2 linked regions of the Drosophila melanogaster genome follow. The protein of the gene in region 1 purifies or fractionates together with the protein of each later gene. This does not show direct contact. Each region holds a gene or a part of one and is shown on either strand. Other genes may lie near its edges.

The links.
Region 2: the proteins of endos (region 1) and elgi purify together in Drosophila melanogaster (affinity purification with western blotting, with the first as the bait; one study listed by BioGRID). This does not show direct contact.

Annotation. Positions count from the first base shown.
Region 1 is NT_037436.4:14,020,811-14,037,001, reverse strand, and holds endos (endosulfine), read left to right. Parts: upstream 1-5,295; 5' UTR 5,296-5,613; exon of another isoform or gene 5,614-5,694; intron 5,695-5,771; exon of another isoform or gene 5,772-5,999; 5' UTR 6,000-6,009; coding exon 6,010-6,195; intron 6,196-6,581; coding exon 6,582-6,755; 3' UTR 6,756-7,423; downstream 7,424-16,191. Other genes in the region: CG6661 (uncharacterized protein), read right to left, coding at 332-2,077; CG6650 (uncharacterized protein), read right to left, coding at 3,006-3,257, 3,319-4,045, 4,105-4,269, 4,359-4,577, 4,632-4,774; Ptip (PAX transcription activation domain interacting protein), read left to right, coding at 8,158-8,232, 8,612-11,155, 11,213-11,743, 11,818-13,414, 13,521-14,822, 14,884-15,115, 15,178-15,781.
Region 2 is NT_037436.4:15,947,072-15,963,299, forward strand, and holds elgi (early girl), read left to right. Parts: upstream 1-9,478; 5' UTR 9,479-9,678; coding exon 9,679-9,768; intron 9,769-9,851; coding exon 9,852-9,994; intron 9,995-10,067; coding exon 10,068-10,512; intron 10,513-10,567; coding exon 10,568-10,733; intron 10,734-10,795; coding exon 10,796-10,899; 3' UTR 10,900-11,362; downstream 11,363-16,228. Other genes in the region: Pka-C3 (protein kinase, cAMP-dependent, catalytic subunit 3), read right to left, coding at 1-508, 7,454-7,516, 7,580-7,685; GXIVsPLA2, read left to right, coding at 8,149-8,238, 8,317-8,476, 8,540-8,982; CG17032 (uncharacterized protein), read left to right, coding at 12,195-12,312, 12,617-13,437; Brr2 U5 snRNP complex subunit, read right to left, coding at 13,923-14,408, 14,467-14,749, 14,805-14,979, 15,044-16,228.

The sequences.
Region 1 (16,191 bases):
ATATCGAGCTTATTGGTTTTTGGAGAAACTATCTAGGTATCGTTTGCGACATTTATCGATAGTGCAAAATTGGCAAATCTTTAGAAGATTCCAATTTAACTTTTACCGCCGACAATTAAAAATCTTTTAATTTATTATAAAATTGTTAGCAATTACCGGTATATAAATGAGTATGAGATCAAAAGCTACGATATCTGGCGATACCGATTAAAGAAGAGTAACTACTAATAATTGAGAAAACATTGTTTATCCAGTTTGTGGTTAAATAGTAAAAACGCCACTGCAAATACATTTATTGTAATTTTGAAACACCCGCCACCCATCAGCAAGCTCAGGGAAACGTATTTGATCCACGCATGGGAGGTGGACCATCAACAGTCTCCTCGATGAGCAGCGGCGAGCTCCAGCGCATTAGGAAGTAGGCAGATCCGGATTTATCGTTTGTCCCGGACAACCGATTTCCACCAAAGGGAGTCAGCCCGTACGTGCTACCCGTGCATCGCTCATTCACGTAGAGATTACTAGCGGACATTCGCAGTTGGTTCAGGCAGTGAAGGATAACCTCATCCTGACTTGCGAATATGGAGCCGGAGAGCGCGTATCTGGACTGATTGGCGGCAAGCTTGAGAGCCTCACTGAAGGAATCGTCCGAATAGACGAACACCGGCAAGAACGGTCCGCAGCAGGGCTCACACAGCAGTGGATCCAATGGATCCGACACCCGGACAATCGTTGGATCAACGAATCTACCAGTGCTGTCATCACAGCTGCCTCCGCACAACTGCTCCATGTTCTTGGTGCGCTGCAGTAGTTTCTGCATCCGCCGGAAGTCATTTATATGCACCATCGCTCCTATATCCGTTTCCGATTCGATGGGGTCTCCGATGGTCAGTTGCTCCGTGGCCTCCACCAACTCCTCCCTGAGGCGTGGCCACATTGACGAGGGCACATACATCCGGGAGAGCGAGTTGGCATACTGTCCGGCAAAGCCAAAGGCCGCCTGCACGGTGGCTGAGACGACAGATTCCACCTTAGCGCTGGCATGGACAAAATGAAAGTTCTGACCCGGGCACTCGGCCACCAGACGAGGAAAACAGATGTATCGCTCCATTCGATCGCTCACCAGCTTGTGCACATGCCTGTAAAAAGCTGCACTCGCTTGAGTATTCAGTCCGGCAAAGTGCACGGCATCCGTGATGGTGTCCAAGAACAGACGCTCGTTGGCCGGCACAAAGTTGATAACGCCGCTGGGCAAACCCGCCTCCTGGAAGGCTCTGAAAATTAAATAGCTCACTGGTGCCACTTCCAATGAGGGATTCCACAACACCGTGTTGCCCATGAGCGCCGGACAGAGGGCCAAGCTGGATGACAAGGCCACCGATTCAAATGGTGCCAGTGCGGCCACAAATCCATCCATGGGTCGCAAATGAAAGCTGGGGAATACATTCATATCACCCTGGATCTCAAAGCGCAGCTCGGACAGATGCTCCAAATAGTCAGCATTGGCCCTCAGCGATGTGAGTAGCCGCCGAATGTCCCGCGTCGCATCGTCGGCGGTTTTGCTCAGCGTCATCATGAGGAACACTCTCAGCCGCAGCTCGTCCTCCTCGATAATGGTGGCGGCACGTCGCCAAATGGCCAGTCGCTGGGCGATGGGAACTAGACTCCAAGTTCCTTGCGCCGAAAGAGCAGACTTAATTGCCGCCTCGATTTGCTTGCGATTGGCGTAGTAGACGTGAGCCAAGTTCGTCTGCAGGTGATGCGGGCAGCAAACACGCTGAGTGTCCATGGTGTACACTGTATCATCGCCGATAATTGTGGGCACCTCCAACGGCCTGTGCTGAATCTCCTGAATGGCATGATTAACTAATACTCTCTGGTTCCTGTGAATACTTGGATTTTCTTCCGCCGGCTGGGAATCCGGCTCGACCTCTTGTTGGTCCTCATCCTGTTCCGGCTGGACTGCTTTCTGCTTGTCCACGGAGATTTTTGTCTCGCCTTTAATGATAGCCATTCCACCAAGGCGACGACATCTGAAGGACCATCGAGTGGGGACCGCGAGTCCCAGCTTAAGCATTGCTTGGACAATTTTAATTTGAAGCTTTTAACAGGAATTTATTCTACATTTGCCAGTTTAATATTCGTATACTTAAGTGTATAAAAATATATGTGTAATGTGTGTTTAAACAGTGCGTTTCGCCGATGTAAGACAGTTGTGGAAAAGGCAGTTCGTTTTCTAAATCCAAAGGCATTCAAAACGAAGCAGATTGCAATAGTTCTATGGCCTGGAAACAACAAAATATTAATAATAATAAGACCAAACAATTTGTGTAAGCCATAAAAATAAGAGATTTACAAATTCTTGAGAATACAAATGTATTTGTAACAGAACGAAATTTAAGCTCATAACATTTAAGGTCCAATTATCACATACTTTTTGTTTCAAATAAAAATGTTTCAAATATTTCGACAAATACAGGGAACTTAAGGTCACAACTATCTTTCAGTGCTGAATCGCTTGTTTAATTCGTTGAGGCATTTTTCATTATGATTTGAAACCAAGTGCGCAAAACAAATTGTAAGTAGGAATGGCTCAAATATGTCAAAAAAGTAAAATTAGTGACTAACATAACTTAGGACTAGGTGACATTCGTTTCCGAGTTTCGATGCTGTTGCATTAGGAATAATTTTGAACACGTGGAATTTACGTTTATGATGAGAAGGCATACATATACAGAATTCAGCATCTTCGCCTAAAACTCATCTGGATATGTGGTCTCATGGGATTCGTTGCTTTCTTCGTGCTATCGGTTGAGCATATTCGTCAGATTTGTGTGAAGGTAACGCGTTTCTAAGGTCACTAAGGTGCTAAACATGCCGAGTTCATGTCCATCCAGCGGGGGAATGCATCGGGGTTTCGTCCTGGCCTTCTATTCGAGTCTTTCATTGCAGGTTTCTAGTGAAATACTATGCAGTCTTTGCCTGTCCCATTGTGATAGCCGATCCTACAACTGTGCCGCGAGTCCGGAGGCAGAGATGTTGTCGCCAGCCCCAGCCGTTTTTCTGGCTTCGCGACACACCAGCACCGGGGCCACACAGATTTCCACCTCTAGCCGTTGCCGGTGACGACCGTACTGGATATACTCCCGCCAACAGGGCACGGGACTGGCTGCACCAATGCGCATTCGCGGCGCATCCGCCTGAGCCGAGGTGGCGAAACTGTCATCTAGAACCTGCAGCACTGCCTCCGGGTTAATCTGCGGATGAAAGAATTATCAGTTCAAAACTAAAACATACTACACATAAATGCGTACTCACAAATTGGGATTTGCAGACGTATCGGTGAGCAGTGAGCGCTGCCTTTGCAGCGGCAGCACGTGTGTTTTTCCACTTGGAGCCCGCTGTGGTAAGGATCGCCTGATAGGCCAACGTGTGCACATGTATGCGCGAGATAGAGCGACGCTTGGCATCGCTTGAGCTTCGGTCTTCGTAATCTTCAAGGAGACTAATGAAAACCTGCCGCATCTGGTCAAGGGTGTGAGCTATGCGCGGATTCCAGTCGGTGGCTAAGGTCGTCCGTCCGTGAGCAAGAACCTGCTGCAGGTTAGAGAGCTCTTGTTCGTTCATTCCCAGGGAGTCTACGTAGGGCAGTACAAAGTGTCGAAGCTGTTGAAGCAGCTGCAACTCCACGTAAGAAGCCATCTCGAAGTGGTTCAGAGTGCCCTGCGGCTGGCTGGTTAGTTGCCTTTGTACTTGCTGCAGGCGCGCCTCTCGCTCACCAGACTTAAAGGTGAACATGTCCATCATTTGCAGCCCGCTGACAACCAACAGCTGTGGCTGATACATCTTCAAAGCATCCGTCAACTGCTCCACGGCCCGCAGATGCGGATTATTTCGATCGTTGTGCAGAATGTAGCGATTGGCGCGAGGTGCCACATATGGGCCCCATTTGTCACCAGCCTTGTACTCCAGAATAAGATGGATGTCATCGTTTGGAATCTCGTCACCAGCCAGACGAATCTCCTTTGGCAGCAGTGGCCGCAGCCTGAAGAAGTTTTTACATTAAGTTCCATGAAATAATTTGTTATTCAGATAGGTAATTACTTTCTAGACATGTGGGCGCCCAGTAGCACTTGAGCTCCCTCCATAAAAAAGCGCACGGCCATCAGTGGGGCGTTACCACCCATGTACCAATTGATCCTCTCCTTGTCCATCACCTTGGCGTAGCCCACCAGCTGTGTGAAGAGGGTACTGTTTGCCATCACTCGCCTGAAAAGTGGACCAGTATGAAATACTTTGTTAGTAACTTGCATAGCCAATAAAATATTGGATATCCAAGATCCTTCCATGCAACTTACTCCGCTGCAGCGCCGTTCTGAAAGTAATAGGCAAAGGACTGCAAGAGCTCGTCCTCGTTGTTCACGACCGCCCGAGATCCTGTAGTGGCTGCTGCGACTGGAATCCGGCGCCCATAGTAGCGATCCAGAAATTCAGTGGCGTTTATCTGCAAGTCCGTGCAGGCTCCGTAGCCGATGGCCACCTTGGGTGCCGGTTCCAACGCGGTCCGCTTCAGGGATCTGAAATACAAATGCATATATAGCTAGTGCTGCAGTGTAGCCGAATGAACTCACCCCTCGATTGCCAGGAGACCGGTGAGCAGGACAGTCGTCCTGTTAAGCGTCTGCAGGGCGATGAATGCCTGCCAAATTATGGAAACAAAGGCCGTTAGGACGGAACAGCCGGTGATCCATCCCATGTATCGCAGGGCGGTCATTGTGGGCGTGGATTGTTGTGTGATTGGTTCGCCTCAGTTTGGGCTTTCCAAACTATTTTGTATGTGACAATCCGCCTTCCGGCTACGCCAACTTTCTTATCAGAATTATCGCTCTTTTTCCTTTGAGATGCTTCAAAGCTAGCGATGACACTATCTGCAGTTCTTGGACTACAGCGATAGTCCAACCAACAGTTACATTTGAATGCTATACTGCTATACTATATTTGAATATATTAAAATAAATTTAAATTGAAATGTGCACTTATAAGAGCGCCCTCTCAATGTGTTAATTTGTTCAATGCATAGAACAGCTTACATTGTGTTTAAACATCTTTTTTTGAGCATATTTTTTCGCTAACATATTGGGAATATGTATGTTTATTTGATCCTCGTAGTTTATATTTTAATTTTTTAAGCAAACAAATAAAATTGCAATTGCTTATCGATGACAACAATGGTTTGAGCCACAGCTACTCGAAGCTGGACAGTTCAGTATTGAGCAACTGTAGTTTCGATAAACGATATGTTCCGAAATAACGCCTTCTGCTATCGAAGACAGTCTTGCGTCTGTAAAGTGATAAAATAATTTTACAATTGAGTCGCCTTGGGAATTTCAGTCACTCTCCACACACCAAATACATAGCTCGTGTAACAGCCTGATTTAGTCGAACAGCACATCATTTGCCGGAATCGTTAGCGAATAGCAGCACTCTCCGCTAAGTCGGCACGCTAATTGGCAAAACCGATTCGATTCCAGGGAAGGAGACACACTGATAGACGGGTGAAGAACAAAAGGAGAAGGAAAACAACAGTTAATCGTCAAATTTTACAGGCAAAAGGTGAGCAACTACGCCTTGCACACAAACAACCGCATCGACGAGCAAACGCACGCACACACAAGCCTTATCGCCTGCGTAGTGGTTGGTGTATATAAAAAATTAAAACAATATTTGCACATCCGATTATTACTATAATATTTCGCGTCCACATATATTAGCAAGTGTGCGTGCGCCTGCCCTGGATTTACGTGCCAGTGTTTGTGCGAGCCTAGCGCGTTTGTGTCTGTGTGTGTGTGTAATGAAATGCAATTTTCTCTTGGCATTTTGCGCGCCTCCGATTTTCGCTGCCCCTCTGCAATTCCGCCGCCTCCCCCTCCTTTTGCCATTTAAGTTCTCCCGTGTCGCCATTGTCGCACCTTGGCTAATCCCAGTACTATCACCCGTAGGCAGCACACAATGAGCTCCGCGGAAGAAAACAGCAACAGCCCGGCCACCACGCCCCAGGACACCGAGACCACCGAGCAGGCTAACCTCACGGATCTCGAGAAGATCGAGGAGGAGAAACTCAAGTCCAAGTATCCCAGCGGAATGCGCGTGCCGGGCGGACACTCGGCCTTCCTCCAGAAAAGGCTGCAGAAGGGGGTAAGTGATTAGCACAATTCGAAAACAATCAAACAATAAGTTTACTAACTTTCGGTGTTCGGGGATACCCAAACCCTGTAATATGAATATCAATTAAAAATAATAATAATAATATTATTTAGTAGTATTTAGTACCCGTTGTTTAAAGGAAAATAACAATTCATGTTTCCTCTATTCTAAGATCCATACTATTTGGCAATTGCTTTCTGAAATCAATGAAACTCAATAATCACAGCGCATAGTTTATATCAACTTGATGATCTGGTAAACGAAATCAGATTGTTACATTAAGTTTGCATTTGGAAGATATCTCCGTTTTAGTTCTAAAAAGCTATTTGATTATATAAGAGAAATCTAATATGTATTCCTTCATATCCTTCCCACAGCAAAAGTTCTTCGACTCGGGCGATTACCAGATGGCCAAGCAGAAGGGTGGCGGCGTCAAGCAGGTCTTTGCCAACAAGGTGACCACCGGGGAGGCCATTCCCACGCCCGAAACCGTGCCGGCGCGCAAGACTTCGATCATCCAACCCTGTAACAAGTTCCCGGCGACGAGCTAATTTACTCACCACTCAACACTCACCTCTACTGTATCCACAACCTCAAGTGCAGCCAGTTCTCCGTTCCCCACTTCAAATGCTCTATACCTAATTTTAATGAAAAACCTAATGCTAAGATGGCTGCTGCCGGATTGTGCGGGCATTTCGCGACAGTTTAAACTGAAATTCTAGCACCATGTTCCGTGTTTCCCCCGTTAAATTCAATCGCCATCCGCACTGGCCAATCAATCTCAAGATCAACTCATCAGTCCATCTCTCAGGCCGGGGAAGCGAAGATGGCGAGCCGAGCAGCGCGAAATTTATTGCAACAGTTATATATATCTCTATCTTTGTAACATTAAACTAACTTACCCTCGTCGTACATAGTTGTAAGTATTACGAGCATAATAAATTTAAGTTGGAGCAGCCAGCCACACACACACACACGTTCTCGTACATTACTGGGATTCCATCAAAAGTTTTTAAAAGTTCACCATGTTCTATGGAAAATGTTTTTATATTTTTTTTTTTGCATTCATTCTATAAGCAGTTGACGGAATTTCACCAACTAATTGATAATAACATAGGTACTGCTGCTTGCAGAGCTAAATTTTTGATGCAAAAACCAAACAGTCGAGTTAAAATGAATTTGTAAATCAAGCAGAGCTAAAATAAATGTATGTACGTATACTTATAAATGTGTTGATTTCCTGGGGCGCTAACCCAACAACTGAATCGGAAATGTGCCATACAAATGTTTACTTAAATTATAAGTGCCCGGAGTGGAGTCTAATTAACTAGGAAACGTTCCTTCGAGCGGTGTGGTATGGTAATTGGTTGTTCAAATTGGACGGGAACGAAATGAAATCACCAAAATAGGTGGGAAATACACAATATTTAATACAAATAGATGGGTTCATATATTTTCATACGAACATCGTGTTTTAGTTAAAAGTTAATCGAACTTGCAAAGTGAGTTTTAGGCCCAATTAAAAAAGTTTTAACCAATAAAATCGCTTTTTGGACCACAGTACAAATGAAATCAATCAAATATCCAAGTTTTCCACCAATCGATACCAGCAGATTAAGCATCCATATTGCCACACTTCTGGAACTATCGATAGTATCGCATAAACAGTGTTTTGTACCAACTCTAGGCGGAAGGCGCAGCGGTGATAAAAGAGAAAAAGTGATCTTTAAATGCAATTTTTCGGTTCCAAATTGCATTTGTTATGTGCTACGCGATAAGCACCGCATCGCACACCGTTTTTCGAAGTTCGCAAATGGCCAAGATCAGCGGAAAGACGAGAAAACACGCTGCAATGTAGATGCCCACGAGCAGCCGCGGCAGCAGCAATAACAAAAGCAAAAGTGAAATTAGCGCCGCCAGAGAAGTGCAAGTGGTCAAACAAACGGCGGCGCCATGGAGAACCTCAAGATAAGCGACAAACTGTTCGAGGATGTGATATACTTTGTGCTGGGAAATCTGGACGAGGAGGTAAAAAGCTGCAAAGCGAATCTTTCGTTTGCTGTTGCTGTACTTGCATTGTGCGTACGTGTGTGTGTGTTTGTGTGAGCGGGTGTGCGTGCGTCTCACAGGGTGGGTTGGAGCGCGGGCGGACAGGGTAACCCGGGCACCTTGGCAAATGCGCGCCATAAAAGTTGCCGGCAAATTGCCGTGTTTGTGTGTTTGTGTACTGGAGTTTGTATTGGTGCTAAATCAACTGATTTTTGTTTTGGTTCTCCTCTACCAACGGAAGCAACATATTTGGCACCCTTGAAAAAAGAATTCTTATTTGGTCACATACATATATCTTTTATATATACTGTTTAAATCAAGTAATGTAATAAATAATTATTATGCCTTTGCCTTGCAGATCGAACGCTTTCTTAAGAGCGGTGGCGCTCAATCGAAACTGTTCCTGTCGGACCAAATCACCCACATGATATGCGCCACCAACTACAACGAGGAGGAGCTGTCCATGAACCTGGACCTCTACAGTGCAATTCCCGTAACGGAGCAATGGATCGTGCACAGCGCCAAGCTAGGCCGAATGGCCTCGACACGGGCTTTCGACCCGAGTCCGAATCAAATGCGGTTGATGCGCGGCATTCGGGTGGCCATCACCAATGTAGTGGCAGGGGATCGAAGGCGTCTTTACGCCATGCTGACATACCACGGTGCCGTAGTCACGCACAGCTTTGGGGCCACCAACACGCATCTGGTGTGCGGTGCAGCCAACGGTGGCATCTACAACAAGGCGCTGGCCCTGCCCAAGAATGCCATCATTATTGTGACGCCCGACTGGGTGACAGATAGCCTTAAGTACAAAAACTGCATGCCCGTGGAGACGTATCATCCGAGACTGCTGAAGCCCATTGAAAAGCAGCGAACACAAAAGCAGCAGGCTACGCAGCAGCAACAAATTCAGCAGCAGCAGCAATTGCAGCACCAACACCAGATGCAGCAACAACAGCAGCAGCAGCAGCAGCAGCAACAACAACAACAACAACAACAACAACAACAACAACAACAACAACAACAACAGCAGCAGCAGCAGCAGCAGCAACATCAACAGCAGATTATCCAGCAACAGGCAACGGCTACTTCTGCCCTATCTGACATCCTTGGCTTTGGCGAGGACAGCGTAGCTGCCAAGAGCATCGCTAGCATTAAGTCTCAGCTGCAGGCTTCAGCTGAACAAATACAGCAGCAACAGCTGCCCGTACCCGCACAGCAGCAGGTGGTCTTTGTGCGCCCACAGCCACAACCCCAACAGCCAGCACAACAATCCCCTCACCAGTTACAGCAAGGTGGTCCTCAAGCACCTACTCCTGCACCACACCCGCAGCATCAACAACAATTAATAATTCAGCAGCAGAAGATTATCCCCGCCAACCTGCAGCAGCAACCACAAAACCAGCAGCAAATCAAAAATATCCTACAGCAGAGACAAATGAAAACAACGCAGCAGTCTCAGCAACAGCAACAAATCCAAATGCAACTAATGCAGCAGGAGCAACAGCCGCATCCTCAACCACTTCAACAGCAGCTTGCGCAACAACACCCGCAACAAATCGCACAGCAACTTCCACAGCAACTTTCTCAACAACATCCACAACAAATTCCTCAGCAACAGCAGTCGCCCCGACTGCCAACGACTCCAACAGGCCGGCAGACACCACGTACACCATCTACAACGCCGCAGCCCGTGCAATCCCCTCAGCACCACCAGCAGATAGTTCAACAGCAACAGGTGGTGCAGCAACAAGTGGGCCAGCAGCAAACGATGGTACAGCAGCAGCAGATAGTTCAGCAACAGCAAATTGTTCAGCAGCAAGTTGTTCAGCAACAGCAGCCACAACAACAATCTGTGCCGGTTTCGCCGCAAATCATACACCAACATCTAATGCGGCAGCAACAAATTTTGAACCAGAATCAAATGCAATTGCAGCAAATCGTGCAAAGCGGACAAGCATTGACGCCGCAACAGCAGCAGCAACAGAGACAAATTCAACAACAGCTGCAACAAGTTATGCAGCAGCAGCAGCAATTACAGATGCAAATGCAGCAGCAACAACAGCAACAGAATCTACAACAACAACAGTCGCCTCGGATGGTGCAAAACCGTTCGCCGGTAATGCCACCAAGTACGCCATCCCCATCGTTGCAGCAACAGCAGCATCATGCAACTAGCAATATGTTGCCGCCACAATCGCCGCGACAACTGCAATCCCCAGCTCCCCAAATGACTCCGCCACCTCCGCCCTCGCCGCAAAACGCCCAGCAACAACATTTGCGCCAGCAACAGCAAATGCAACAGAATCGACAACAGCACATGATGGGCTCGCCACAACAACCTCAACCACAATCTATGATGTCGCCGCAACAGCAGCAACAGATGCAGCCCTTTCAACAGCCCGTCCATCAACAGCAGCGCATGCAATTGCAGCAGCAACAACAATTGGCCCAACAGCAGCAACAACAGCAACAGCAGAGTCCCCAGCATATTTCTCCGCAATCGCCCCAGATTTCTCAAACTCCACCCATGCAGGCAAAGCTGCATCAGCATCAGGTGGTTCCTGGACAAGCCACTCAGCCGCAGCAATCATTCTCCCAGCAGAAGCCTATCGACCCAACGGACCCCGTTCAGGTAGCTCAAGTGCTCAGTCGATCTGCATTGAGCAGCAATCAGGACTCGTTGATAATGAGGCAGCAACAATTGAAGCAGCAACAACAGATGCAACAGCAACAACAAATGGCACCGCAGCCCCAGCAGCAGCAAATGGCACAGCAACCGCAACAGCAGCAGCAGCAGCAACCACAACAGCAGCACACCCCTTCTCCGCGACAATCGCCACTGCAACAGCAACCTACTACCCCCACCTTGCAACAGCAGCCAAACCAACAAAACGCTCAAGTAAAATAAAGAACATATATTATTTTTTACCGGAAATTAATGATTACTTCTTTTTAGCAAATACAGCAGCAACAACAACAACAACAGCAGCAGCAGCAGCAACAACAACAGCAGCAGCAACAACAGCAGGTCCTGACGCAGCAACAGCCACAGCCTGGACAACAGCAACAAGTCATCACTCAGCGCCATGTTATAAACACATCCACGGCTCAAGGACAACAAATCATTCAAAGTCATATGTCTTTGGCCTTGCAGAAGCAGCAGCAATTGTTGCACGTTCAACAACAAGCACAACAGCAGCCGCAGCAGCAACAACAGATTACTCAAGTGCAGCAACTGCCACCGGCACAGCAGCAGCAACAGCTTCCGCAACAGCACCAAGTTCAACAACAACAACCGCAACAAGTTCAGTTTACACAACAGCAGCAAATAGCACTTGGAGCTGGTGGTCAAGTGCGGATAATTCAACAAACCATACAACGTCCACCAACCAATGTTCAGCAACAGCAGCAGGTTCCACAACAACAACAACAGCAGATTATTGGTCAATTTCCCCAGCAACAGCAGCTGCAACAACAACCACAGCAGGTATGCCTACTCTTAGTTTTTTGTCTTTTTTTTTAAATATTTACCCCAATAAATTTTCGTTTGATTCACACCAGCAAATTTCTGGAGTTCAGCAGCCACAACAACAGCAGCAGCAACAAAAGACCTTTATAATTAGCCAGCAGCACTTTAATCAGCTTAGCGTACAACAGCAACAGCAAATCCTAGCCCAAAATCCGCAGAGCCAAAACGTTTACGTGGTCAATCAGACACAACAGCAACTTGTGCAGCAACAACAAATGTTGCAGCAGCAGCAGATTATACCACAACAGCAGCAACAGCAGAGGATGCAAATGCAGCAGCAGCCGCAGCAGATTGTTGTTAACCAGCAAATACTCAGTGATCCACAGCGCTTGCAGTACCTACAACAACAGCAGTTAATGCAAAAACAGCAACAGCAGCAGCAACAACAGCAACAACAACAACAGCAGCAGCAGCAGCAACAACAACAACAGCTAGTGGGACAACAACAACAGCAAATCCTTATACAACAGCAGCAAACGCCCCAACAACAGCAGATACTGCAGCAAAAACTGTCCAACGATAATCAGCAGCAACAAATAATGCAGCTTATCACGCAGCAACAACTGCCTCAACGCACGCCGCCTCCGCAGCAGCAGCAACAACAACAGTTGTTGCTTCAGCAACAACAGCAGTCTCCACAACACCATCCACAAATGCAGCAGCAGCATTGGTCACCGCAAAGTCCTGCTGGCGGTCAAATGGCGTCCAGCACTCCAGGCACACCCACCAGTGTTGGGATGCAATCACCCCTGCCCGGTGGACCAACAACGCCGCAGCCGCAGCCTCAGCAGCAATTTGTTCCGCGTGGATTGCGGCCGCAAACCTCTTGGCCCGGCCAGCCTCAACAGCAACAGCCTCAACCCACTCAACAACAGCAACAGATCGTGCTGCCGCCACCGCAACAACAACAGCCGCAGCAGCAGCAACAGCATCTTGGTCAGCAACAACAGTTGGTAATGCAACAGCCACAGCAACAAAAAATCGTGGTGGACGAAAAAACGCATGCACACCTCATGTCATTGGATGCTCACAAAAGAGCCGAATATATTACTAAGTTGAATCAGCAGAACAAACCTCGAGTAATGCTTCGCCAACAGGTTGCCTACCAGCCGCGACCTGGAGCACCGGGCAGCATAGTAGCGACGCGACCGGCAGGTCCGGTTCCGCCCGGGCACATTATTGTCCAACACCAAATGCCACCCGGATTAACACAGCAGCAACAAGTCCTCTGGCTGCAACAGCAGCAGGGAAAACGACAGGTTGTTGTACGCGCCGGAACACCTGGCTTGAGTCCGATTCAACAGCAGCCAGGAGCGGGACCACAGCAACAGCAGCAGTCTCCTCAACAGCAGCCCTTCAACCCCAATGATCCCAACCAGCAAATGCTGATGCAGCGGCAGCAGTTGCGAGTCCAGCAGATTCCCATTCAGCAACAGGGACCTCAGCAGCTGGGCAAGCAAACAGTGCAGCTTATCACCGGACCCAATGGTCAGCTGATTGAACAACAGACCATCGTCCAACAGCCGCAGCAGCAGTCCGCACCAGGCACACCTACAACTCCAGGAGCAGGAGGTGTTCTTCCCGGAAATGCCAACATAATGACGCAAACTTTGGTCATGACATCAACGAGTAAGTAAATGCATTTGTCTGCTACAGTGACTTTTACAATTATACGAATCATCTTTAATCATTAAAAAAAGGACAATGCACATAGTAACCAATTCCTTTTGCACAGCTCCCGATGGACAGCCGCAACAATCACCGCAGCAAATGAACCTCAAAACGAAGACAGCCCTGGCCAACATGTTGAGCAATCGCTTAGGAAATAATGGAGCTCAAACACCACAACAGCAAATAATTCAACTTCCCGATGGACAGCAGCCACAGCAACAGCAGATTGTACAACAGGTGGTGGTGACCGGAGCCATTCAGCAGCAGCAGCAACAATTACTATTACAACAGCAACAGCAGCAGCAGCAACAACAACAAATGGTTGTCCAACAGCAATTACCACCACAGCAACACGTCGAGCCACCGTCGGCAGCTGGTGCTCTTAGAATGATGGGCCAGCAACATAACGCAACAGCCGGAGTTCCTGGACCACCGCGAACTCAGCAGGAGTTGCTCATGTTGCAGCAACAGCAGCAACAACAACTGCTGCAACAGCAGCAAATGCGCAGAGTTGTCGCCCTGCCACAACAGCAGCAGGCACCGCAGCAACATCTAGTCCAACAACAGATCGTAGTCGCTCCGACACAGTCCCCCCAGCAGCAGCAACAGATGGCTGTGGGAGTGGGCGTGGGTGTGCCAGTGCAGCGGACTCCTCACGGCTACATTCAAACTCGTCCTGGTCAGCAACCGATCCCTATGCCGCAGTTCTACGGGCACAATCCGAACCTAAAGTTACCAGCCGATCTCTTTTTGGTGGGCTGTACGTTCTACATTGTGGAATACGATGAAACAGACGGTGATGAACTGCCCATTTGGCTAGATACGATTAGACAGTTTGGCGGTGACATCGAACGTGTTTACTGCCCCCGAGTAACCCATGTTATTTGTCGCACTCAGCGTCATGGCGTGGTGATGCAGGCGTTGCGGGATGCCAAGCGCTGCGTCACTGCCTACTGGCTGAGTGATATTTGCTTAAAGCGCCAACTGATGCCACCGTGGCAGCCGTTGCACCTACCGTTCCCCAGCCAGTTTGGCTATCGTAAGCCCCTAGAACGCTACATCATAACCTCCGAGGGATTTGAAGGCGAGGAGGTTGTGAGACTACAGCAGATGGCAGAGGAGTGCGGTGCCATCTACACATCCTATCTGTCCAAGGTGAACACAGTGGTCGTGTGCAAGCAGCTCGAGGGCAACAAGTTTAATGCCGCCAAGGAGTGGAACATACCGATGGTCAATGCGCTTTGGTTAAGCGACGTGTGCATCGGTAACCTTAGTGGCCTCTCCCAGTATGAGAATCCCAAGTATCAGCAGTACAACTTGGTCGCTCCCTTCCGCATCGAATGCAATCTGGTGGCTCATCTGCTAAGTAAGTACAAACTAAACTCGTATTATATTGTAAAATCATTTGACGATTTGTTTCTTAACAGCTGCTTGGAAGGCGCCCATCAATCTAACTCAGGAGGCACACGAACGGGTCAAGCGACACTTATCCGATCCTTACGGCAACGAGCAAAAACTTAAGCGCCAGAAGATGAACGCATTCCAGCAGGAGCAGCTGCCAGAGCAAATTGTCTGCGTAGAATATCCAACTACCACCAAACCACCAAAGGTCATATTTTCCCAGGTCGCAGATGCCGAGGCTCTTAAAAAAGCTGTGTTGTAAGTATAATACAACGTATTCTTAGTTTCGTTTTTTAACTTTTCCCTTTTTTTTTTTTTAGAATTTTGGGTGGAATTGTGGTGGACAGCCCTGCAGATGCCACTCACCTGGTAATGACACGCGAGAGTCGTACATGCAAGCTAATCCAGGCCTGCTGCCACGTCGATTATGTGCTGAAGTCGAGCTGGATTGCTGATAGTGCCAAAGCTGGTAAATTTGTGCCTACAGATCCATACCGCATTCAGCACATACCGGTGGACGAGAACCTGCAGTTCAATCTGAATACCGTGCTGTGCGCCCCCACTCGTTCAACGCTGTTTGCCGGCAAATACTTCCATGTGACGCCGGACGTGTTCCCAGCTCGCGAAGAAATTATACGAATGATTGAATCGTCTGGTGGTAAAGTGGAGCCGAAGCGGAGAAGCGGTGCATCTGTGGCGGAAACACACATGCAAGCGCCCGATTCCTACATCATAGTAACCTGTCCCACGGACATGCATCTCTGTGCGGATCTCACGCGGCACGGAAATCCCAAGTGTCATATCGTTTCAACGGAGTTCGTCATGAGCTCGATACTCAGGCAGCAGCTGGAGATTGAGCCCAATCTTATACCATACTTGTACAACAATAACAATGTCAATAGCTGCAATAGTAATAAGTCCTAGCGCCGAGTGTTTTGGTTGCTGTAGAGCTGAGATAAGGTCTCAGACTCGCTGTATAGTCACAAAAGAATTTATGCGAGCTGTTATCAAATACGTATGGGTATGACATTGCCACTGCGCAATGTCATTGGCCATTGATGTTGTAGGCCGCGCCAATTTCTTATGATATACCAACGCGAAACTAGTCCATAGAGTTCGTCAATTCAATCGGGCATGCCGGAACGAATGAGTTTATAGGGTCTCGGGCACATCGGCATATCGGTCACAGCTAGACAAATTTATTGCATCCCCCTACTTTAAAATAGTTAATTTTTTCAATTTTTTCAAAGCGCCAGCTCAATTTAAATTGTAAATATACTTGGGAATCGAAATCTTTTCGTTCTTAATCTTCTTGTAATCCACAAGTAGAATCT
Region 2 (16,228 bases), 1.9 Mb from region 1:
GCATCCCGGCCGTTGCCCTCCCCCTCGTTCTCGTCGTCCTCCTCATCCTCCTCGTCGACGTCATTGTCATGGTCAGCGGAACTGGTGGTGGTGGTGGTGGCGGTGCTGCTGCTCCGGCTGTTGGTCGCCGGATCGGGTCGCTGCTGCTCCTGCTCCGGATCCTCCTCGCTGTAATCGGACTCCAGTGGATCGGATGACTCGCTTGAGGCTACATTGCTGCTACTTCGGCCGTTCGAGCGGCCCAATTTGAATGTGAATGTTGTCTCTGTGTTGCTGCTGTCATTTGCTGTTGTGCTGTTGTTTGATGGAATTTTGTACGCCGACGTCATCGTGTTGCCGCTTCCGTTTCCGGTTGTCAATTTTGATGTGGATCCTGCCGTGCCGGATGACAAAGGCGTGCAGAAGCGGGCACAAGTCGCCGTGGACATCGCTGTCGCAATCCTCGCCTGCGGTTTTCCGATTGTCCTTGCCGGAGTTCCTGTCGTCCCGTTGTCTCCTGTCGCTTTTCCTGCAATCGAATGGATTGGAAATGAATTGTCGAGTTATATTTGGATAACAAAGCAAATAGCCAGTGTGATTGATTGAAGGCAGTTCGGGAAAGGGGTTACACTTGCCGTAATTACAAAGCTGTAACGTTTCTCTGTTGGTTTAACAGTTCACATAACGATTTAAGTACAATGTATTACGGTGTCAAAATATAATTAACTACCCAAGTAAATCATTTCAAGACTAAATAACCGTATAACTGAAAAGTCGTATTATAATTTCTAAGTTCTATTTATGTTGAGTACGCCTCTTAAACTTCAATTTAAAATTTAAGTATTGATCTTAATCGTATCAAGAGTATTTACATGGCATACTAAAACAGATAAATAAGACATTTTGATATTCCTGAACAGCAAATCAATACATTTATACTGTATATTTTATTTATATTACGGTAGTACACTATAGATATCTTTGCCTTTGACCTCAAAACATTTGAGGAAACAATTACGCTATAACCTGCATTCTTTCCATTTATTTCCCGTTCTTTAAGTTCTGTTCACATATCCATTAAAAGCCCAATACGCTCGACTAAATGCCGCCTCCATTGTTCTTTCAAATTGCCTTGGGGTGTATTTATACGCCAAATCCCACCATCCAAACCAGCCAAGTCCAGCCCAGTCAGCTCCCATTGCCAGACCATGGTCGTTTAATTAACCAGCCGAGGATAGTGATGATGGCTTTGTATTTTGGGCCCGGTCCAATCATTGTAGTGTTCGTAAATTGAAAGTGAAATGGAATGGCCGTCGGTCAGATGTGTGTGTGGTACTATATGTTCATACATGTGTACTACTATGCTTCGAGCAACAAGTGTTTTATCAACAGAGCGACAGGCGTCCGAACAAAAGGAATTATAAACTGTCAGCCTAGGAAAATTGAGTTCGCGTGCCAAAGGGTTTCCACCGCCGGCACAATGGAGGCTGCAGTCCCGTTAATATCACATACTAATATTATTAATAACAATGGCTGCAGTCTTGATTCAATTTGATGGCTGCCCGGCTGCGCCAACAAAAGGCAATCCCCCGCCCGAGTCCCCAGACACAAAGGCAATTTCTTGAGGTTCGCCTTAATGCCCCGATGCATTTAACTCAAGAAATAATAAAGTCGATAAAACGGTATTGAGGTCGGTCCACCCGAAATGCAAAATCGAGATGGACGCATCCGACTATAAAATCAATATCCATCTACATGGCGCTTCTATCCGCATATTCTTGGCTGGCCTGAGTGGCTTTTATTGTTTAAGCGCTGGCCGGGGCAATCTAGGCCAGTTGGTCCATAGAAGAGCATTCGATTGACTCGACGAGGATGCATAATAGCGCCAACCAAAATGTGCACTGGAGGGCAGGAATTGATGCGCATCATTAACTACAGCTTTGGCTGTTCGAAGGCCAAGAAGATGACAATAGATTAGTCAGGCGTGGCATTTGACTACCGAGCATCAAAAGGGTTTATTGCCAATTTCGGTGAAAGGGAATATATTTGCAGAAATGTAGAAACATCAAGCTCAAGTGCAAATAAGTACTATACACAATGGATGAGAAAGTGATGAAATCGTAATATAGTTCACACAAATATAAAAAGACAAGAAATGCATAAAACATTAAAGCAATTATGTAAAATAAAGAAGTACTTCCCAGTCATTCCAATTATACGTAGCTCGAAAATCGATTGGCTTTTCCATGCTTTTTTTGACTAATTTAAAATGGTTTAGTTTTTAAACCTTGTATCATCTCGCTTAACTTCGCAGTTGTCTTACCTACGTAACAAATGTCTTCCCCCATTGCAATTGACACGCCTCAAAAGGCAACCGCTGATAAACCTGGATTTACGTAAATATATTTAACTGCGTCTCAAGAAATATTAAGTATACGTATGGATATGCATATCTATATCGCTTTATTGTAACCTATTGTAACCTTGCAATTGTAGAACGTTTTGATATTTGCGAAAAATACCACTCAACAATTTCTTGGAATATTTCCTTAAGCAATCGCTTTGTTTTTTTTTATTATTATTGTTATTACGCATACATTAATTTTATGAACGACTGTCACTCAGGATTATTTACGTACGCGTTCGAAATGTTTGGACTTTTTCGGTAGGAAAATATGAAAATGAAACGCCAACGCATTAAAGTGCGGAAATATAAATTAAAGTTGTCTAAGGCAAAGTGCATGGATTGTTTTGAGAATAATTTTTCAAAAATTATTGTAGACAATCACTCGGGCTGTAAATTAGCAAAGCGACCAAAAGAACCAAGAAGCAGAAACAACCGATCTCAGCCGATCGTTCAGTCCTATATGCAGATATATATATATATACATATATATTCACATATGTATACCCACTTACACTCTGAAGATCGGCCCCATTCACCTTGGCGGCTGCCAAATTTGAAAATGGAAATGGAAATTGGGGTCGTCGTTGCCAGCCAGCCAGCCAAATGTTAAATTGTTGCCTAATCTTCCGGTGGCCAGCACTCTGTTTTTTTTTTTTCCTTCTCTTGTAGTCGCTTCTACTTTTCGTGAATGGAAAACGCAATAAAAAGTATATACTATTGTATATGGCTCGTACTAACGTTAAACTCAAGAATTAGTGCCTGCGAGATAAGATGCTAAGATCAGGTGAATGGGGTGTGAGATTTCGCAAGATCAGGGTTATCTGCTTCTGCAGAAATGGATTTACAAATTCTGATTAAGAGACGGATTCCGTGCAAGGGTCAATAAACGTTTTATGACGTTTACTTTAGAAAAGCTACGCCAAATAATATACAAATTTCGAGATAATATCTTCCTATTTGCACTTTTTCCAGAGAATGGAACCCCTAACAACTTGAAATTACTTATATTCCTATAAAATCCATTCAAAATATTTCTACACAAATCCCATTTATGAGCTGAATTCAATAAATTATTCGGTATAACTTTTATGCTTAAGGAAATTTCCTCGAAAAAATTATGAAACTTTTCCCATGGGCCTTAGCTCACCTAACATAAAGACACTTGATTTATTCGGAAAATCAGCGAATATATTTTAAAATGCTGAGCAAAAGAAGATTTCCTAATCTTGTGACTGCAAGCCAATTGACCTTTTGATAGGGGAAATTAATTTGGGGTGCAATGTTTGCAACATTTATTAATTCGTTGGGCGACCTAAGGCATAAATTGTGTGCTTAATTAATTCAGAACAGCGCGAGGCGATTTGTTTAAAAATATGTGTTCACGAATTTATAGATAGCTTACTTTTTCATAAAAAGAAAGCGTCTCATATTAATATCATCGTCATCGGTGTATTTTCGAATTTCCAAACAGTCAAAGAGAATTTGCTGTAGGCGTTGTCATTAATAATATTTTTCATACGCCAGGATATGTAATTAACTGAATAAGTGCATTCACTTGAATTAATGATGGGGGTGTTACGAAAACGAAAATTCATTGGCCATTTTCGGTTGACGAAATAAGGATTGTCGCTCCCATGCGTTTCTGGCTAATAAAACCCAAATGGCAATAATCGTCAAAAATAATGCCGGCTAAATGCAATCATAACATAAATACAGCGACACGCTTTGTTTTCCTTACGAGTATTTTCACTGGGATCTGGTTGGTTTTCCCAAACTCACATAAGGACGATACAGATTTATGGTCTTGGATTTGTTTTTATGGAGCAAGTACTTCCGTTGTCCTTGTGCTAGTTCCTCACTTAAGTTGCCACTGCTGTAATTGGCTAGGCAAACATATAAACATTTATGCGTATGGAGAAGTTGGGGAATAGATTTCGAAAGTCCTTGACTGAGTTGGCGAAGAGTTATTGAAGCGCGACATGAAGAAAAGCAATTTAAATGGGGTCACCTGAATGCAAATAGCTGGCAGATTTTGAAAGAAGCGGAAAACTCGAATATTATCTTTCTTGAATTATTAAGCATAAGTAAATCATACATTTTTGGAATTTTTTATATATTTACCATTTGTCAGTGAAGAATCTAATAATTTATCACGCTTTCTGAACTTTGAAATGTTCAAGAAAATTCAAAATATTTTACACGCCTTTTTTAATTTATATATATGTGGGATATATGGGATATATACCATTAAATCAGACATTTTAGCATTTTATTCTTATTTATATTTATCATATTTATTTTAACATTATGACGAGTTAGATCTTCCACCTCTATTTAAATGTTTAAAGACGCATTAATCTACGAATCTAACGAACTTAATGACTGCATTAGCAAGATCTCAAAGTATCTAAAAAACCCACACTTTCCAACTTCCACTTCCACTCCAAATATCAAGATTTAGCCCGCCATGTGAGGTGTAATTTGCTAATTGTACTAATTAAATCGGCTCGCCTAATTATAGTACTCAAAGCTTAATCATCAAACGAATTTATCTCCACATTTTGTTTCTATTTTGGAAAGCAAGCATTTATGATTTGTTGCTGGCTGCTGGCTTCCACTTTTTACACTACCCACGATTACTCACCGAGCTAAATTTTGAGATCCAAATTTGCCGGCCGTCGTCGTTGCCTTTTGGTTTGGTTTTTGTTTTGGTTTTTGGTTTTTTTAGCCTTTTGGTTTTTGTTTTTCTTTTTTTCCTACTTAACGATCCCACAGCCGATCTATATTTATTGTTGTTGTTCAGGTTGCGATTGTCTGGTTGGTTGGTGAGTTCTGATTCTGATTTTTTGCTGGAGCAAAATTTGAACGCTTGCGAAATTGTTAAAAATAAATATGTTACTTTAAGAGCGCACGATTTTCCGCGACTAGCCGTCGATTTCGATTTTTCCTTCGCTTCTGGCCGGCAATAATAACAGAAAAAAAGGCGAAAAAACCGCTGAAGCCGACACAGAAACAGAAATAAACTCAACACTCAGCGTTTCTCGGCGGGAGGGGGTATAGGTATAGGTATTATGGGTGTTATAGGTATACGGGGGCCATAGGTATTATTTTTTGCGGATCGACTGGACACAGCGATCGCGATTTGCTTTATTTGTGTCACTTTTTTCGTGGGTTTTTCTTCGGTTTCTTTTAGTTGTTGTTGTGTGTCTAAAGGTGCCGCTTTGTTTTGTTTATATACGCTGGGATCGTGAGATCCGAGAGATCTAGAATTTCCGGTTTTTACAGCGCAACTTGCAGTTTTTCTTCGGTTTTTTGTTAGTTTCCTCCGCTGAACCAGCAGATTGCCAAATTAGTCCAACTGAGCGCAATTAATCAAACGTGATGATTGCAAACTTTGAATAGGTTTTGTTTTTTTTTTTGTTGACTAGTCTGAAGACCAATGTCAAATTTTCCAATTTTCTTTCGAATGATTTCTGAGTGTTCTGTGGTGTTTTTCTTGGGTTGACCAGCCGCTTCCACGTTTTGCACGAAACTGAAACGTAAAATCTGCGAATCGCTTGCCACAGCTCTCGACGTCGACGTCAGCGTCGCAGTTGGCAGCACAGTCGTGGTGGTTCGGAAAAGGGGGCGGCCTGGTCGGGAGGGGCGGGGCAGTGGGCAATGATGACGATGGTAATAATGATGCTTCTGCTGGCAGCCAAGGGGAGAGGGAGAGATGGCTTCGGGATGCTCGCTTGATAGTCGGATGTGTTTGTGTTTGCTCTCCATGTGTGCAGATATTTGGTTTTGGCCAAGTGTCCCGAGTGCCGTTCCATTTGAGGGCCTAAACGCTTTGGCGGCAACAGGATCATCGCCATCAGGATGGCGGAGGCGGTCCGGAATCACCGATGGCGATAAGGCGGCCAGCATGGTGTGCGCCCTAATTGACAACACCATCACGGAACTGAAAGTCTTTGCAGCGACCAAAATCTACATACATACATATATATATAATAATTAATCTAGAAGATACATACATTGACAAAAAAGTAGATATTTTGTCGCTGCGAAGACAATAATTTACATATTTTAACTGTTCTTATCATATTTTTTTTGTGTAATAACAACTTTCATTACTATCATAAATAAGAAAATGCAAAATTATATTTCTTATGAAATATCTTTTTATCTTTTAACAACGTTTAATAATAGATTTTATAGACGTTTTTATCTTACGATTTTACCTGATTATTAAATAAATATAATCCTAATGTTGGGTAGTTTTTGGATTGGTTTTTCTTTAACTGCTTTAACAGACACATTGCCTGCGAAAAGTCGGAAAATTGTAATAAATGTGGGATTTTCCCAAGTGTAGGAGTACCAGCAGACTTTTCGTCAGCAGTGAATTTTTAAATATTCCAAGAAACACTTATACCTATTTATGTTTGTGTTATTTCAACAAATATTAAGACTTTTGGTTATTATAGTAGAGATGGAAAATAATGCATACAGGATGTAATTCAGATATGAAATACATACATGATGTACATATTGTACATAAGTTAACCCTACGATTCAAGCCAGAAGTCGTTTTAAATCAAAAGGTTTATGTGTGTTTTTATGGTGGGGGTGTTTTTCCTCAGTGTCTTGTTTGTTTTCAGTAGACTTTGCGGCAGCGCCGATTCGTTGCTGAGAAAATCTAGAAAATATGTTTTGTGTATTTACGAGCCCTCTGTTTCGGTTTTAAGCAAACAGCGAGCGCGCCTCTTTAACGGTTTTCGGGTGTTGCGTTCGCATGTTTATGCACGTTGATTTCGCTGGCCGTTGTAATAAAGGCCAACAAGGTCAGGTGCAAACGAAATGCGAGTACGAGTGACGCCTGCGTGCCACAGTCTCATTTCAGGTGCCGCATACAATTGCCGTGTGCATTTCAATTTGATGTTATAATTAAGCGAAGGCAGGCACGAGATGTCAGCAAGCTTTGCGTTTACGTTTTCTGTGCGCGACTTTTTTTTCCCTATTTCACTATTTCGTTTTGAGGCTGCTTCAGTCCTGTTTGTCAAGTGCAAGGACACTGCATGCACTCACCTCTTTGAGTGGGCGTGGCAAGTCCTGCCCGCAGACCGGAAGCCGAGTCATGGTCGCCGCAGACTGTAAGGCATAAAAATGTTAGTATCCTTGCCGCACTAAGTATAATTGTGGGAAACAACTCACTTAGCTTCCAGCTGGAATACAAACCGCAGCCGAAATTTGCGAAGACACTTGCGCTGACTCTGCAAGCCACTAAAATACGTTCCAAAAATATATGCCACAAATCCATTTAAGGAAAATTTTGTTTATTCCCAATTTTTTGAATTTTCCCCCCTCGAAATATCGATGTATATGTATTGTCAGTTAAATGTTTTGAGTTGTCTGTACCAGATGGCGCCAGTGTTCTGAAATTCAATTTACTTTTATTAATGTATAGCATTAATTGTAATACTCTCTGCAAAGCCAACAAGATTTTATTTTTCATAAATTTTTTTGTTTTATAAATCATAACGTATTTTATTTATAATATTTAAAAACGGTTTTAAATTTCCCATTAGGATTTTTTGAAATGTCAGGACAGTGCCTAAAAGTATGCAACCTCATATGCAGTTTGGTATGATTTCCGAGCCGGTTGGTATATTTGAACGATGACGCCTGGTCACACTGCTACAAATGTCTTTCGCATAGTTTAGTTTATTATTACGCGCAAACAACAAATAGCTGACCCTTCAAAAACGAATTAAACAGCGAACATGCAGTTCTCTTGGATGAAGGTGGCCATATACCTTCTTACGTTCCTAACCTACGCCTATTCAGGCTATGGATCCAGCACCATAGTCCACGTAAGGTGCACCGCTTCTCGTAGGAAATCTGTGAGAGCTAGTATCTGTTACTCCTGTATCTTCTCTCCCCGGATTTAGCTAAGGGATGCCATTATAGCCGCGGAGGCGATCTTTGGTGACGTGTTCAAGAACCTGATAGTGCTGGTGCGCAAATTTCGCACGGTCCACGAGGTTTTCGATGCGGCCGTGGACGAGAACTGCATATACCAGTGCCCCGCACCGGATATCGGAGGACCAGGTGTGGTGACGCACTGCGCATTATGTAAATTCCCCAGCATCCATATGTGTGTTTATCTTACAGCGCCCAGAGCGGTTCAGAATAAGTTCTATACCCCCACCGCAGATGGATGTGGTTCCTTGGGCCTGAGGATCAGCACAGACTATCTGCCGGCCAAGGAGATGGAGACATGTTGCAATGACCACGATATCTGCTACGACACCTGCAATAGCGATAAGGAGCTGTGCGACCTGGACTTCAAGAGGTGCTTGTACAAGTACTGCGACAGCTACGAGAAGTCCATAGCCAGCGATCTGATGATGAAGGGCTGCAAGGCGGCTGCCAAGATGCTATTCACCGGCACATTGACCCTGGGATGCCGCTCCTATCTGGACTCCCAGCAGAGATCCTGCTATTGCGCCCCGCCGAAGAGCTCCTCCTACAATGGCAATAGGCAGGGTAATAGCAATAGTAGGGAGAAGCAGCAGCGCCAGAAATATGGCTGGAAGGATCGCAACGAGATATAGTACAGGATCACTGGCTACGAGGGTGCGGGGACCTGGGGGTATCGGATTAAGCGTTAAATGTTTTATGTGTTGTGTTAGTCTATGAATTGGGTAGCCATGTCCATTGGACTCCCTTTTTGACGAATTTCATTATTGTATACCAAATAGTGGCATGCCAACGGTCCAGACTGTTAAATACATTGATATTTTTACCTATTATAAAGATGCTATATTTTTAAATCAACTGTGCGCTGATTAATCACCGGTGGCTTATGCTGACGTGGTCCTTTGGGCAGGATATGTATATTATTTATTAATCATATGATCGACAAGTGTGTAAACATATTTTAACCAGGACGATGACGTATTTAATTTGTTAAGCTGCCTGGCCAAAGCTAATTTAATAGTACAAATAAATGAATGGAGATCAAACAAGAATTCTATTATATCAAAAATTTTGACTTTAAGTCAAACTTAAGTTTAAAACTAAGGTGGAACAGAAAATATCTCAATATTTTCAAGCTAAACAGTTATTTTAAGAAGCCATTTCTCGCGGATTACAGCTGAAGTGCCATCCTAGCTTTCCAACACTACTCAGTCACACTACACAACACTGCACTGACTGAACCGAAAAAAAAACACACAGATTTTGCAATCCGCAGAAAAGAATTATTAATAGTATTTTTATGCGGATGGCCAGCGTGCTGAGGACCTAAGATGGGCTACGATGTGAATCGCTTTCAGGGGGAGGTGGACGAGGAGCTCACCTGTCCCATCTGCTCCGGAGTGCTTGAGGATCCGCTGCAGGTTTGTTTTGTTTGCAAAGAACGCACACCGCGAATCATACATATGCTTTAAATACAAACAATCATACATATCTACCGATTCAGGCCGTGATGTGCGAGCACGCCTTCTGCCGCGGATGCATTAACGAGTGGCTAACCCGCCAGCCCACTTGTCCGGTGGATCGAAATTCCCTGACTACTGCCAACTTGCGGGCAGTGCCTCGCATATTGCGCAACCTACTGTCCAGGTGAGAAAAACCCAACGCCTTCTACTCTGTGAACCTTGTGGACTCTAACTAATCTTTGACCCTTGCCAACCAGACTGTCAATCACCTGTGACAATGCGCCTTATGGCTGCACGGCTGTTCTCAAGCTAGACGCCTACAATTCCCATTTGGACGAATGCATTCACAATCCGAAGCGACCATTTCCCTGCGAGAAGGGATGCGGCTTTGACATACCCAAGGATGAGCTAAAGGACCACAACTGCGTGCGGGAGCTGCGCACTTTAATTGTCAAGCAGACGGAAAAAATGGGTGAGCTCAAATCGGAGCTCACCGACCAGCAGCTGACTATCAACGAACTGAAGCGCGAGCTGCAGCTATTCAAGGACTTTATGCGTGCCATGCGCGTCTCCAATCCTGCGATGCGGGCCATAGCCGACCAGATGGAGCGCGACGAGGTGATCCGCTGGAGCAGCACACTGCCCCGGGCCAGGGTTACGCGCTGGGGGGGAATGATCTCTACGCCCGACGATGCACTGCAGGTGAAGCCCAAATTCTAAATTTTTTTAAAACGTTAACTCACTTTTCATTTGATAGCTCATGATCAAGCGCGCTTTGTCCGAGTCGGGCTGTCCGCCACACATCCTGGATAGTCTTATGGAGTTCTGCCACGAGCGACGTTGGCCCCGTGGGCTCAGTTCGCTAGAGACACGTCAAACCAATCGTAGGATCTACGACAACTATGTGTGTCGACGCATTCCAGGTAACAATTTTAAACATAAATATTAACAACAAGGCTTTATCTTTAAACTTACTCTTCCGCAGGCAAGCAAGCTGTGCTCGTTTTGAGCTGCGACAACCTCCACATGACTGAGGACGTCATGATCGATCCAGGTTTGGTCATGATCTTCGCCCATGGCATCGAGTAGGCCCTCAGCCGCTGATTAACCACTTATCCTAGGTTAAATGCTAACTATATCGAACAGTGCTCAGTTTTGTTGATTCCTTAACGTAAGAGTAAGCATTAAAAACAATATTGTAAGGAAAAACTCGCAAAACAAACCATTCAAGCGCCTCATGACGACTTTCAAGTTGTACAAAAAATATATATTACTTTCGGTTCATTGTGTTTTATCCATTTAGTTAGTACGCAAATTCGTATACATCATCAAGTCGTTCGCATATACCCAATATTACATGTTTGATTAAGCGATCTCAACAAATGTCCCTTTGTTATCGTTCACTTCATTCTCATTTTGATGGAAGGAAGCTGTGAATGTCCTAATTCGCGTTTAAATTCGTATTGCACAACTTACTTAAATTTCTGAAATATTTGTCAATACTTTTAGATTAAATGTGGAAAGAGTAATAAACAGTTTATTTAACTAATGTATTCATGGAAGAATTTATTACTATAATAAACCATTTGCTTTTATAATTGATTTCTTTCAATTACGAATTTAAATTGTAATAGTATGTTACAACAAAATTCCATTTATTCATTTATTTAAGCACTCCCATGAATTATTTTTCTGAAAGATTGTCTAGCCTTTTAGATTAGAAATAGAAATAAAAGTGATTATTCCAACTAAACCGATAATTCTAGCCTCTTATCAGCTGAAAGGGCAGACAAGCGTCTGCCTTTGGAAATCCTACACAAATGTTCACTGGGATGCCCCCCACTTGCAAGCACCAACTCATTCGGGGAGATCTGTCCGCCTCCACTCTGTGGACCCGTAAAAGTTCTGGACAACATCTGTTTCCCGAAATGGAAATCGAAAAGCAACAAAAACCAAGCAGCAAGCAACCAAGCAACAAAATAAACAAAAGAAAACCAAACTAGTTCCTCCACGAGCTTTGGCCGCCAACCGGTTTCGGCTTTTGTACACCCGTTTTGTTTTTTTCCTACATAATACAACATTATACAAAGTTTGCATCGGTTACATGTGCCAAAAATCGTTGGATTATACAAGCCAGTTTTGGTTTTCAATTTTTTTCTTCGTATTTGCCGAACATCTTGAATATTGATAGAAGCAATTAGCGCCATCCAGACCAAAGGGGCAGCCCCCTACGGCGATTGAAAGTGAGAGTTGATCGGCCGATTGGCGGCGGAGCGGACAGGCTGAAATATATACATCCAACAGTTGATCGCGAAGCGGCGCAGCCAACGGACGTGTCCAGCTGCGATCTCCAGAAGGCAACCAATCTAATCGAAGAACACGAAATGAATGTATCAATTCCGGTGCTATTTGTGGCCCTCATCTGTCTGGCAGCTGCGTCGGCGTTTCCTCAACTGAGGCAGCGCAACGAGAAGCAGGTTCAAACCGGCGATGATGATTTGCGTAAGTAAAATTCTTAACGCTCGAAAATCTTACAATTCTTAGATTGTAAAACTTCCTAAATACATTTGGAAAATACTTTTCAAATCTGAAATTCTGTAAATATATATAAATACATATCTATCTATAAATTTTTGTGTATACATATGTACACATTCTGTAGTGCGAACAAAGCGTAAAATATTTAGTAAAATAATAGATTGCTCCGAATTTTTTAATAATAAGCTTGCCGATTATTCAGCTTCTATTAATTAAATTAAAATAAATATAAAATATTTTATAAAGTATATACCATTGCATTTTACAGCTTCCAAGGGCGCCACTATCGAGGAAGTAGTGGTGGAATCAGCCTTGTACATCAAACCGAAGTCTAATCCGCAGGTGCGTCGCGTCCGTTCGGTCCTGGATCAAATATCCGGAATCCAGGCCGCTCACAAGAGGGTGAAGCGTCAGTTTGGGCGACAATTTGGTGGTCAGTATGCTGGAAATCCCGGCTTCGGTGGCGGATTCGGTGGAGAGCCTGGTTTTGGAGGTGGATTCGGCGGTAATCAAGGATTTGGAGGCAACCAGGGATTCGGAGGTAATCAGGGTTTCGGCGGTAATCAGGAATTCGGCGGTAACCCAGGATTCGGAGGAAATCCCGGATTCGGCGGTAATCAAGGTGGAAAAGTTCAGGCAGGTACATCGGCCGGCGCTGGGGGAACCAAAGCGGGTGTTGATGTTGGTGCCGGACCAGATGGCGGCAATGCCAATGCCAACGTCGAGTTAAATCCGCTGGGACCACTCGGACCCAGTGGTTACAACCAGGAGCAGGCCGCATCCAACGGAGCTGCCCACAGCAACTACAACAATGGACTCAACTCAGGATCCTCGGCCGCCAGTGGGCAGGCTCAGGGCTTCCAGTCGCAGAGTGCCAATGGATCATTCGGTGCCTCCTCCGCAAGCACGGCCACTCAGTCCCAGAACACCAGCCCCTTTGGATCCAATAATGCGGCAGGTGCTTCGCTGAGTCAGGTTTACCATCTTCCCAATGGACAGACAATAAACTTTAGCTCCACGAACAGCTTCGCTAATGGAGGAGCCAATCGTGGCAGTAGCCATGGATCGGCAGTTTCTGTCAGCCGCTAAAAGCCAAGTTCACCATACAGGGAAAATACCTCCAAGTTAATCTATTTGTCAGCAATCCTATGTGCAAATATCTAAAAAATCCAAATAAATATTTATGATTGAATTGAATTTGAATGAATAATTTGAATGATTTTTTTAAAATCTAAACGGTTGCATTTTGATGATCCAGATTACAAATTACAACAAACTTGAATTGTTCCATACGAAATTTAAAAGCTTAAGACAATATAAGAATTGGCACTGTTGACTACAAAATATTTAGATTCTTGGTATCAACCAGCGAAAGAAAGTTGAAAGGTTTTTTTTATTTTGTTTTTTTTTTTTTTTGTACTACTTTATATAATTATCCTCAGTGTATCCTTGTACAATTTGGTTTCTACTAAAGTAGTACACGAATTTATTATTGCTACAATTAATGCGCGTAAATTGTAAAATGATTGATTTTCATTTGTGCAAACATGCCCAACTGATGATCCTAAAGAAAACTAATCTGACTCGCTTTCGCTTTCCGACTGGAAGTCACCCACTTCGATGGAAAACTTGTACTCCTGATCACAACCCAAATAGGAATCGCTCATGTAGTACAGAGTGTAGTCGTGTTTGCCCGGACTAGGTGCCACAAAGTCCAGCTTGACCTTTGCCTTTTGCTGCAGCGTGAGCCGTTTGATGGAGAGCAGGGAGTTGGTCTTGGGATCACCTATGACGACCCACCATCCTTCTTCGCGCTTCTGCGGGAAGAATGGAGCAATGACTGGGCCAGTGACCTCATCCTCACGTTCCAGTTGAACCACTACATTAACGGTTGATCCTGAGTTGATGCGATCCTTGTCCACCACCTCATAGTTCAGCTCAATGTTGGGGTAACGGTTGCAGAATCGAGCAACATCGGCCATTTGTAAATCGGAGAGCTGCAGCAGGCGAGTGCGATCCTCGTCCTCCAATTCCATGATATCGAAAACGGTTTCGATTTTCTGAAATATACGACGAAACATGAGATAATCCTAGAGATTCACTTGTTGTTACTCTCACCTTCTCTGTGCACCGCTTGACAATCTCGGGACTAAAGTGCGGCAACTGTTTCAAGTACGAGTCCTTGCTCCACATGGCCTGCGTGACCATCTGAGCCAGCTCCATGGCAGCCACAGCCGGCGACAGCCAGCCATTTGAACTCAGCACATCTACGCAGGCCTGAATGAGGCGGATGGCCTTGCTCAGTATCTGCTCCGTATCGCCTTGCAGTTCAGGTCCCAGTTGCAATCGCGAAAGATGAGCCTGAAGCAGCAAATTGGTCTTGATGTGCGGATCATTGAATCTAAAAATAACATTGGTAAAATTCTTTTTAAGATCTAAATGTATGGGTTGCTTACTTTGGAGCCGTTTCATTGGGTCCTGTGAGTTTGTTGGGCAGTCGCTGAGACAGCGTGCGCAGAACCTGCTCCTCATGATGCCTGACCACAACATCCTCGTACTCAGCTGCCGATGAAATAATTTCCAGCAGGCCCCGCACTTTTGTTTTGCTGTTGAGGGACAAACTGAAGAGCTCTGGGAAAAAATGATAGGAAAATGAAGATGACAATTGCCTAAACTTAAATCTAATGCTTCATACCGATAGTTGTGTAGTTGATGTAATAGTAGGCAGCAATCATGCCCAGATTGAGTGGCAGCGTGTCCATATCATCCTCCACGCTAATACACTTGGACTGTTCTAGATCGCTCAGCGTATTCTCCACCAACTCCGAAAGATGGTCGGAGAGATGGCGATGCGTGACACCCTGCAGATTGTAGTAGTTGGGATTTTGGGTCAATCGTCTGTAGAGGAACGTCCAGGTGAGATAATCAACGGCATCCTGTTTGTTCTCAATTGTCTTGGTGACCACCTCGGCGTTAAAGTGATCATGCATTCTATGATCCAAATGACTTTCGATGGGCAGCGGCTCGTTGATGAATTTCTTAAAGAAGTCCTTCTTGCTGCTCTGGCACATCAGCACGCATTTGGCATCCGCATCCTCGTTCGGCCGATTGGCTCGACCAATCATTTGCAGCACGTCTGTAATGGGATAGTCCTCATACGAATGATTCTTGCCATTGTAAAATTGTGTGTCCATGATGATCACCAAGTGAGCGGAGATGCTCATGCCCCAGCAAAGGTCTCTGGAGATAACAGCTACTTGCACGGCGCCAGAGTCAAACAGCTGCTCCACCAGGCGATGATCTGAGGCGGATAGGCCCTCATGGAGATAGGCCACTCCTTGCGCTAGGGTCTCCTTCAAAGTTTTATCCGTCATTCGTTCGAGGAACGGCTTGATGTCCTCCTCCTCAGCATGGAAAAAACGGTTGGGTTGCAAATCCGATGCTGCGTAGGTCAAAACATCAATTGCAGTGAGCCTGGCCTGCTTTCTGGACGAGACAAACACAATCACCGGCTTGTGGGCGCTGTACTTGAGGATGGCATTGTAAACAGGCTTGGACATCGTAGCAATTCTGGTGGCGTTGTGAGTGACATTATAGCCCTGGATGTGCAGCTCCAACGGAATGGGACGCACGCTGGGGTGGAAATTGAAAGTGGCATTGGGATTACAGCCCAGCCACTGGGCGACATCCCTGGCATCCGTTAGCGATGCAGACAACGCCACTATTCTGATCTGTTTCTCAATCTGCGAGCTAATGTATCGCATCCTGGAGCATACAATTTCCAAAACGGGACCTTCTTCGCCACCAACCAACTGCAGTTCGTCCACAATGAACAGGTTCACCAATTGTACGTTCTTCCTCTGTTTCCATCTGCGAGACA